Linked DNA regions of Neodiprion lecontei. The protein of the gene in region 2 interacts with the protein of the main gene of each other region in a pairwise test. Links are inferred from orthologs where the notes say so. Each region holds a gene or a part of one and is shown on either strand. Other genes may lie near its edges. The genes, in order: ras GTPase-activating protein-binding protein 1 and E3 ubiquitin-protein ligase SIAH1.

The links.
Region 1: the proteins of E3 ubiquitin-protein ligase SIAH1 (region 2) and ras GTPase-activating protein-binding protein 1 interact in a two-hybrid assay, tested with the Drosophila melanogaster proteins (2 studies listed by BioGRID). The link is inferred for Neodiprion lecontei from reciprocal best matches to the Drosophila melanogaster genes sina and rin.

What each region holds. Positions count from the first base shown.
Region 1 is NC_060262.1:29,946,555-29,951,496, forward strand, and holds the start of ras GTPase-activating protein-binding protein 1, read right to left. Parts: upstream 3,234-4,942; 5' UTR 3,061-3,233; intron 1,958-3,060; 5' UTR 1,803-1,957; coding exon 1,705-1,802; intron 1,170-1,704; coding exon 986-1,169; intron 867-985; coding exon 489-866; intron 1-488.
Region 2 is NC_060264.1:36,320,344-36,326,329, forward strand, and holds E3 ubiquitin-protein ligase SIAH1, read left to right. Parts: upstream 1-1,863; 5' UTR 1,864-2,391; exon of another isoform or gene 2,392-3,132; 5' UTR 3,133-3,365; coding exon 3,366-3,594; intron 3,595-3,745; coding exon 3,746-3,985; intron 3,986-4,136; coding exon 4,137-4,329; intron 4,330-5,115; coding exon 5,116-5,293; 3' UTR 5,294-5,333; downstream 5,334-5,986. UniProt on the Drosophila melanogaster protein: E3 ubiquitin-protein ligase that is required for specification of R7 photoreceptor cell fate in the eye by mediating the ubiquitination and subsequent proteasomal degradation of Tramtrack (ttk).

The DNA.
Region 1 (4,942 bases), on a different chromosome or scaffold from region 2:
ATGGTTCACTTGTTACTTCTATTTCATTTTTGGATAATTTGTGTAAAATATCAAAATCTATAAAATTCAGATAATATTTGGAGGTTACCGGAGCAACATCAAGTATTAACTGTAATTACAGTGACATTACACATCTGTTCAATATTAGCACAATTTCTATTATGAGATAAGAAAAATAGATAATTCTCATTTTTATTAATGCAAATAAAATTTTGCTGCATCTGGAGATCACAATCTATAAATAGAATTGACTATTGAGGATAACACACCACCGCCAGACCTCCAATTTCCCGAGTTTTCCCCTGTTCCATGTCAAAAATTCTATGCAGCCTGTCTATTGCGGGATCGTAATACTACACAAAATAAATCATGATACATTGAAATATGTGAAGCTAATCTTCGTTGTGTATAGTCGAGTACCCTTGACATGTGTGAGTACCAGTTAAAAACAATATTGTTTTGCGTATCAATATTAAAACACAGCTTACGGGTTGCTGAGGTGGCGGGGCGTAGTATACGTGTTGCTGTTGCTGTTGAAGCTGTGGTTGTTGACTTGGAATAAGGGAAGGTGGACCTTGTGGCTCTGGAGGTGCAGTTGCCGGTGGCAACTGATGCCCTTGATTGGGTTGTTCATCCTCTTCTGGTTCCGAACGCACACCTTCTTCAGGTTCCCGTTCACCAACGCCTTCACCTATACCCCCATCACCACCTTCAACTTCTCCTTCTTCCTCATCAGGGAAGCCAAGGTCTTGGTAACGAAAGATGTCATTATGAACGTAGTACTTTTTTGGTGCTTGCGCAGCCAAAACAAACGTTTGTGTGAAGCGACGCATCGGCTGTCCTGCATTAGACAGCTCTCCTGTCACCTGTAACAATTGTTACAGCCAAATTATATCATGCTAGAGAATTGTTATAAAAACTTGTCAATAATCTAGTGGTTACATAATGATTGGTCAAAGTTGTAAATGTTAGAATGATTATATACCTGAACAACAACACCATTCCCAAGTGTAGCCTGTGAGTCAACTTGACTGATCTTTGCATGACAATCGCGAAAATTCAATTGTTGGATTTTTTGATGGATTTGTTTCTGACCAATAGCTGGATTTATTTCTCTGTTAGGAGCGTCCAGCCCTCCATGAACAAACGACGAGTGGTTATTATAGAACCTAAATGAGAAATTAGGTAAAGGTCACAATTCATAATCATATGGTGACGTAGCAGGGAGTAGGTTTTGCGTAGTACAGACCACATAGTTTATCATAAATCCAAAAAACTTGTAGTGCTACAAATATTACATACTGTTTGGTTTTTTTGTATCTGACCTCAAATTTCTCAACAGAAATTTTACAATCGTATTTCCGAATATTATTGGTACAACTTTGAGTGACATGAATACGTCCATTAAATTTTGGATATGTCTGTTGAAAAATCTGTACTGCTGTAAGGAGACTACTTTCACTGAAGTAAATGGTGGTAAGTGAACAGCAAAGGTGAAGAATATTGAAATTATCATCTAAGCACTACAGCAGCAGTAATAGATTTATGATAAACAAATCTGAACAGTAGTTCTGCAAAAGAGTATTATGTAATGACTGAGTACTGGTAGTAATAATAAATGAACACATTGTGATGTGCAGGTAACGTAGGGCATATCTGTTACTACACCAAATTATATAAATCATTTATGAACTTATAGAATACCTATGCAGGTGGGACGGGGCCTTGTTCAGCAAAGTATAGTATTGTCGGACGAACTCGCGGCCGACAGATTGGGGCGAGGGGGATGCCTCCATGACCATTTCCTGTCCTACTCCTTGACGCTGTTTTCCGTCTTCAAGTATGAGTTAATTATATAACAAGGTTGATATTTCTCAGCAAACTGATTATCTTGAGTACCTAGTGAGATGTTGTTGATGATTGAAAAGTCTTACAAATATTAAGGCAGGCAGATTTTCTGAAACATAGGCGCAATATAATTAAAATTAATGAGAATGTACAAAAAAAAAGGATAGATTATCTGTAGAAATGTTCTGCATGTAAATACTAAACTCTTGGCTGGGTTAAAATATATTCAAAGACATCTCAGACGGCAGCATATTTATACAAAATATGTTTTTCCTTTCATCTAATCTATTTGTCAGTCATTAGTCATTGGTCACGTTTGAAATTCTTGTACAATAAGCATTTGTCAACAACAGTACGAGTTACATTAAAACTACTTCAATTCCAACCTATGCATACTTCAGAGTTCGGGCAACTGATTTACAGAGTATAATATAATCTATATATAATAGAAGCAAATAGGAGTCGTTATCTTTGGAAGTGAATGCATCTTTTCTTGTGGGAAGTTACACGACGGAACACTGTGTTTTAGGCATAACGTTCCAACCTTGATTGAATATCAAGCTTCAGAAAAAAGCCAAGGGGCATCAAACAGCAAAATAATGATGGATAGTCTGTAGATGAATACTAAAAATTAGTCATGAACCAGGTGAGAACATGAAATTAAAACAGAAGGTGCAAGAAAAAAATTCAAATTATTTGGAATTATGGTGAATACAAAGACGTGTGGGGCGCATTATTAGAGGCGAGTAGAGTATGTTAATTCTACTTCGGCAGAATTTTGTTCCCAAGTGACGCTATCCGGATAGATTGGCCGAACCCAGATGCCAGGATTAAACAAACTGAAAAATCTCTCGAGGCGGACAATGCATAAACGCAGCGTCCTCAGAGTGGCGCTCTGTGGCGGGGCATGGCGATTAAATTCGTGGACATTTTGCGAAAATTTCCAAGGGCTACGGTAGCATAAAAAAAAAAAAAGAAAAAATCGCTCACTTGGAGTTGACAGAAATTTTTTTGAGTGATAACAAATACCGAGTAATGTGAGGTTATACCATAGAGCGTGTAACGCTATGTTCAATTGAGCCTACAAAGCCGGCATGTCTAGGGCTATGGCATGTGAAACCACGCCGAAATTGCTCGGTGCAAGGTCTTCTGAGATTGTGGTGCTGTTCTTAGCGAGATATACACGAAATATCGGTCTAATCCAATGCTCACCTTCACAGATCTTGATGCGTTTGGTTACACTTAAGTTACACGGTAGTGTTACGCTGGACAAATTTCGATGAAACAAGGTTCAGTATGAATAATAACAGTTTACAATAATGTTAATTATAAAAACAGTTCGGTGTAGGACCCTCAGTGTACCGTGGTGTCAGCACATGCACTGGATGCGCATGCGCGATTCGAGAGGCTTCGAACCCAAAGGCTTTGGGAGCTGCTTCGAGGCTAGCCGTGATTTCAATCGTGTAGACCCCACACATCAGAAACCCGGGAGGGTCGAACGGTTTGACTGCGGTTACAAACAAACATGGCTGCATATTTCGGACAAAAATATTCGGCGCATTCTGCAAAATTTATGTGCGAAAATACATGGAACGACTGAATGATCCTGTAAAATAGCAGTGGTTATTGTTGCTTCCGATACCCTGATATCATACTGTAATTGAGGGAAATAAGCAAGGGAATATAACCGATTCAAATAGCTTTCCAATATTATAACTTTGCATTACTTAGCCGGGAACAATAAATAATTTACCGCGCTACCAGCTCTTGCCTGAATTCCTATTACTATAATTATAGTGAATATTTTGGGGCGATGTTTTCTGCATGTATGCATGTATGTACATCGGACATACATACACGATAAAACCACTAATATATTACTTTCACTCGTTAAATTAAATAAACAAATAAAAATTACACTCGGTATGAATGATTTTCTACTAAGTGTGACGACAAATTAGGCACAGCATTTAAATGGGGACTAGATTGATGGTGAAGTATAATTGTCATACCTAGTTACTGTTACTGATTTGTGTATTGTCGAGATGGGCTTTATGGTACAAACATCTTTTCACGCGATACACCGCAAACCGCCATTAAAAGTAAAAATTACGTATAGTGTTACACTTGATGCAGGTTCTCAAGGTAACATAGAAAGAATGAGGATGAATAGTCAGACAATTTATGTACACAAAATGAGTTTTTATTTAATTCTATATCTTGTTTAACAATAAGAAAGCAATCTTTTTACAACATTGTAAAAAGTACATTGCCTGCTTACTTCGCTACAATAGCTTTTAAGTTTATTTATAAACAAAATTAAAATAATCTTACTGTTAAAATGGTTGGACATGGTTGATTGCAACATGTCGGGATGCTCTCCAGCTCACAGAATAGGAGCGAACCTAATCTTGTTTTAAATCAATTTTTTTTTCTTTTGTACAAAATGCAGTTTGTTTCACAGTCTTCATTGGCTTGTTTTATCGATCATTTTATCATCAATTCCCATAAGTTATATGTTGTTCATATACTGATTGTGCACACACAAAATTACCCGAAATCAGGACGTATGATCTTTAGTTTTGATTATTCAAGGTTAAAACCGATCTATTTGCCAGTTATATAATAGTATAACTCATTCTGCTGTCAAATAGGACCGCTCAAGTAGAGCATGTGGGTCCCATTCAACAGCATTTATAGATTGAATTTATTCTGTATAATAAATACCTCATATTAGATAAATTATCTTCAGATAAGATTTGCGGTTCCAATTTGCCTAATTATGTCATATACAACAGCCAAACTGCATAGGGCTATGAGTACAATTGATATACATCATTACAATCCATCGAATATTCAAAAAATGAAACCAGTATTGCAACATTCTAAGAATATGCGAAATCAGCGTCAGCATACATCTTTATATTTACTATAATACTTGACACCTGTGTAGAAATTAACTGCATCATTCAAGCGGTTTGTTCGGGCCGTGCTTTTACTTTTTTTCTGTCTTGTCAACTAGTTATTAAATAATATTATCATTACCATTACTATTATCATTATTATTAGGTGAAATACAAATTTATACAGAAGA
Region 2 (5,986 bases):
TCCGCTTACAGTTGTCCGCATATAATGCTCTCAGGTATGTACGTGCGTACATACATTCAACTATCTTAATTCTTGCCAAAGTTCTTACCCACGTGGGACTTTAGTGAAGCGAAATTCTTGATCGATCTTCTGTTAGTCGATCGAATTACATATTTTTTACTGATATAAATGCGGATCCGTGATAGGAGAAATAATAATTTTACGTTTACAGCACGGAAGAATCGAAGTTAAGTGTAGTGCCCTCAACTTATCGACGCAGTTTTTAGATCATAATCGGTGTCAGGTATCAGTGATGCCTCTTTAGGTGCTCTTGTGGTTCAGCGTCGACTGAAAATTGCCAAAGCAGCCAGCCATGGGTATTATTCTTTTCAAGCATGGAAAGGAGCACGACTGGGCGGCGGTAACTGCCATGCCCTACATTTACCTCCACGCCAAAGTTAATTGAGTCGGTAGCGGTAGGGGACTCCTGTACCGAAGTTCGCCAGGCTTCAAAAAAATTACTGTTCCCCAGAATTTTTTTCCAATATTACGAAAACTATGCATCCTAATCGTTTCCTTTGCGGCCTTGGATGTTCCGTGAGGAATAGAATCTCATAAAATCAATCGAAATCGACAAAATTTCATGGCGTGTGAATCGTGAAATGTTGGTGCGTCGCTTAGGTCGATTAAATTCTAAGCCTAGGCAACTTATATTTTAAAAAAAGGGCATGAGAACGCGGTAATGAGTTACTACGAAATTGTTACAATCGACGATTTTCCATGATTGGAGAATTCAGCTCGGAGTCATGGTAATCAGAGTTTTCAGACGTTTCACAGATGTTTTGGTGTCTATTTGTTTGGGATTGCATGGAGAAATGCACTCCTACTTTTTTTTGATAAAAGATGTCTAGGCTCAGATTTTAATCGACATTAGTGACGCACGCATATTTCACAATTCACACGATGTAAAATTTCGTCAATGTTGATTGATTTTGTGCTTTTATCAGAATCTATTCCTCAAGAATATTCCAAGACCGTGAAGACACCGGAACTGAGAGGCCTTTCGCGTCAAATTATAAAATGTTTTGAAAAAAATCAGCATTTAATTCATTACATGATTAATCTTGTAAATTCGATAAAATAATCACATAATAAATTACTATACAAATAATGAAATTAATAATCATATGAAGTGGCATAATCGGAACCGAAACAAATATCGTGCAAAAATCTTTGGCTTATCAGGTGGAGGGCTTGTTAAAATATCCATGCTCTCATCCGAGGGGGTAGAAAAAAAAAATTCTCAGTGGAACAAATCAAACGACACTTCGAAAAATCCGATAACTCATTGTGAGTGCGGTGAACAGTCCCTTCTGAACGTGGTTTGAACATTCTGAACATGGTTCCGAGTTAGATTCTCTGAACAAGGACCCCAAATGTCGCATGCGATATCTAGGGTCCAGTTTCAAAAATCCCCAGACCCTGAAATCTTGAACGTCTTGAAAAATGAGTCTGAAATAAGTTTGTCGCCTGAAATCAGCTGCCAGGCTGCTAGCTGTGGAGTGTATAGTAGGGGGGGATATCTTAAGGGTTATAAAAAGTGAGCTGATTATGGGTACAAATAAGAGTGGTGCTGTGAAAACGTAAGTTGCTGATCTGAACCATCTGAAGTTAGTTTCAAATATCATAAGTTTAAGTGTAACTAACTTCAACATTCAACTTTGTAATAATCGGCGCCACGTCGGTTATTCTATGTTCCCTTACTTGCCTACAGAATTTGACCACATTCTGACGCGCCATACATTAGAGAGTGCCCTCCTTCTATACACTCCAAACTGCTAGTCATAAAAACTCCCTAGAACACAGGCAGGGCTAGTCGTTAATTCGTTAGCGCAAACGCAAAAGATTACCGACAGCATTGAAAGGTGCTGTGCCAGTAATTGAATTGTGTGATGGAAGGAGACAGCCGATTGGAAGAGGAAGAAAAAGAATCCATGTGATGTGATAATCGGACGAGGCCTAACATATCTATTTTTTTTTCTGGTCTAGTGTGGTGAAATATGTAAGTCGTGTAGTGCACGTATTGCAAACGTTGGTAAATGTGTAGGCGTGCATGTATTTGCCTATACGTGCTTGACTGCGTACATGCATCGAAAGCAGGTATAAGCAGAAGTTGTCGCTAGTGCAGTGGTAATTTTTGCAGTACTTGAAAAAAAGAAAGACAATCAGCCAATAGACATTTTATCAGCATGAAGTGTCCAGAGATACGACGGATAACGTTCGCGCATCGTCTGTTGTGAATCATAATGAAGATATAAGTACTGGCTACTAACTATACAATGTACGCATGGTGTGTATGCATGTACGTACATACATACGTACTGGCATGCGCTGAAGTGGAGAAGTGACAAAGTAAGACTAGATAACACGCCGTACGCGTACGGCGTGCATGTAGTAGGTAGAGGCCCCTTGTAAACGTCGCCAGTCGCCACTGCCTATCGCCTGTCGTCGCTCGTCAGTCTTCAGTCTATCTACTAGATCAGAGCCTGAGTTTGATCACGTCCTCCGTAGATCCAAGTCCGCGCCCTCGCCGGCAATCGTCCGACGCCACGATGCCGTTGACACCCCCGACGTCTTTGCCCTCCTTGTCAGTGTCAATATTACTGTCAGTTTCGTTATCCTCGTCGTCGTCATCGTCATCGCCATCGCCATCATCTTCATCATCATCACCATCATCATCATCATCATCATCATCATCAGTATCATCATCATCATCGCCGTCGTCGTTGCCGTCGCCGTTGTCGCTGTCATTGTCTTCGCAGCTTCCGTTGCCGTTGCCACCGCCCGTACACAGCACCACCACCGCAGAGCAAACCGTCGACGCGCCTCGATCTCGCTACGTCGCGATGTAGCTTTCCCGTCGATTCGGTTTATTTTTTTATTATCGAGTGTCCGTAAACGTTGACACTATCCGTACCACAGAAAGAAGGGGTTAGTTTCCATGTCGGAAGACTCGGGCTTGTTTGCGTCCAACGATAATATTCGTTCAAGTGCCTTTTTTTAATCTTATCATTACTACTGTAAGCAAGACCTATACCAAAACCAATACCAAAATAAGAATATCCAATGAATAATACCGGAACGTTGTGACAGGCCGCCTTGCATCCTTTTCTTGTGGAACCTCACTGGTGCGGAAAATTTGTAATGAAATCGTTAATGAGTTAACGAGATAAACCAACCCACCAGGTATACCTCAGATATCGGGGACAGCCGGTCAGGTATAAAACGAAACTGGGGACGTTCTTTCACACAAAAAATTAGACTTAGATAAGACCAGTGACCTAGGAAGGAAGCGTCCCGTTACAGTCTGCAATCCGCTCGACATAATGTCACAATTGAATATAAGTTCGGGAAAGCGAGGCCGTGGAGTACCGGGCACCTCAGCATCGGCAGCCTCTGCATTGAGCAGTTCTGCGGATCTAGCCAGCCTCTTCGAATGCCCCGTGTGCTTTGACTATGTCTTGCCACCTATACTGCAATGCCAGAGCGGTCATCTAGTATGCAGCAACTGTCGCCCCAAGCTCAACTGTTGTCCCACTTGTCGGGGTCCCCTAGGTTGGTACATACATTATTCACCAACTTTGTCCCAGTTACTTATACTTTTATAGTATCTACCTATGTTTGACTGTGATGGGTACCGATGATGTTATCTTCTCGTCCAGTTTACCTTGAATTTAAAAAAAAAAAAAAACAAACAACCAAACAGGTAACATCAGGAACCTGGCAATGGAGAAAGTAGCGAGCAATGTAATGTTCCCCTGCAAGTATTCGACAAGCGGTTGTACTGTATCTCTTGTCCACACGGAGAAAGCTGATCATGAGGATGCTTGTGAGTTTCGACCCTACAGTTGCCCTTGCCCCGGTGCTTCTTGCAAGTGGCAGGGATCTCTCGAACAAGTCATGCCTCACCTTGTTATGAGCCATAAGAGTATTACCACCCTTCAAGGTAATCTGCAAATATTAGTCTAGCTTACAACTATTTCTAATAATCGATGCAACAGACTAATCACTAGGAAAGACAGGGATTTTTTCTTACTGTAATTGGTGATGTGCTGTAATTTGGAAACATATTCTGCAGCAATCCTATTCTCTTCTAGGTGAAGACATCGTATTTTTAGCAACGGATATCAATCTTTCTGGAGCAGTAGATTGGGTTATGATGCAGTCATGTTTTGGTCATCACTTTATGCTTGTCTTGGAGAAACAAGAAAAGTATGATGGACATCAGCAATTCTTTGCCATTGTTCAACTAATTGGTTCAAGGAAACAAGCTGAAAACTTCGCGTACAGGTAGATATTATTTTTTTATAATCTCGTGACTATTTATTATTTGCCACTGAGGTCACAACAGGCAGGTACTGGAATAAAAAGTAGGAGGCACTTGATTTTTATCGAACTGTCAATTACATACGTGAATGAATTAATTTCAACATATCAATTTTTCAAAATATTCATCATTGATTTATTGACGTGAGATATATTCGTCGGAAAAATCGAGGACTCGAAAAAATATTCAAGAAAAATGATTTGTCTGATTTGAATTTTTTAATTTAATTATTTTATTCCTATTCCGATATTCCTAAGAGTGAATTGGAATTTATTTTGCACTTTTTGTCATTTACCATACGTAAAATATCGTCTGGATTATTTATTGCTTATGGGGAAATATTTTAGCACAACGGAGTCCTATTCCATGACGTAGCCATTTTTCCTTAACTTTTAAAGATTAATCTAAATATCAGATAGAGCCTGCATTATTATAATTTATGTCAGGGATATCATAGAGTTAATATTATGTTACATCATTATAGTTATAGTACATGGCTCTCTATAAATAATATACTTATAACCAGCTTTATAGTCAGGATCAAGTCCGCGGACTTCCATCGTAGATGGATTGAATATACATATACAATCTATACTAAACGCTGTTTATATTTTCATGCATATTTATGAATATATGATTATATACACAGTATAGAATAATGAAGACAAGATAAGACCTGTGAGTTTAAAGTTTGGCTGTGAAAGTTATAATGGCATCTGAGTCTGGTTTTTTCTTTCTCGATATTTCAGATTGGAATTGAATGGTCATAGACGACGGCTTACGTGGGAAGCTATGCCAAGATCTATCCACGAAGGTGTATCTTCTGCTATTCTTAATTCCGACTGCTTAGTGTTTGATACGTCGATGGCACAATTATTTGCCGATAATGGAAACCTTGGGATCAACGTGACCATTTCTATGGCCTGAAATAAACAAATGATCAGATAGCAAGCAAATGAACAATGCTGGACAGTGAAAATCGTTTATGGCATCACATATACAGTGGAAATGTCTACATTCGATAAGGTCACCTTACATGACTTCCCGTTCCTACCGCCTTGATATACTTGGAACAAAGGTAGAGCATTTTTCCATCGTTAGCGCAATCACTGTATACAAGATAGCAGATGTAATTTGCCCAACATTAGGTTCGCAATTAATTTCTAACTATTCGCTAGTAGTTACAATGCCGATTACCTGGTAAAACTGGTTTACATTAGTAGATTTAATAGTGAGTACACAAACATACTTTTTCTATAAATAATTCTGCTAATTTAGGTATAGTTACTGTCCACACAGAGCCAGTAATTCAGTAGAGAAGAGTTGACAATCGCAACAGTTGCCAAATAATAACACATTCTGTAGATTCGCATGTTTCGGACCCAGCTACTGAGCGCCAGAGTCCCTACGAAACAGAGTCCGGCCAATCTTCTCTATCTTGGTCCTCATTTTCTGATGAATCGAAATTGCGCGAAGTTTTAAACACATATAAGTAGGTAGAAACGTTAATATTAATAAACAAACATATTACAAGCTAATATTGCAATATGTTTATTATACAAAATCAACGTTTCTACCTACTTATGTGTTTAAATCTTCCCACAATTTCGGTTTATCAAA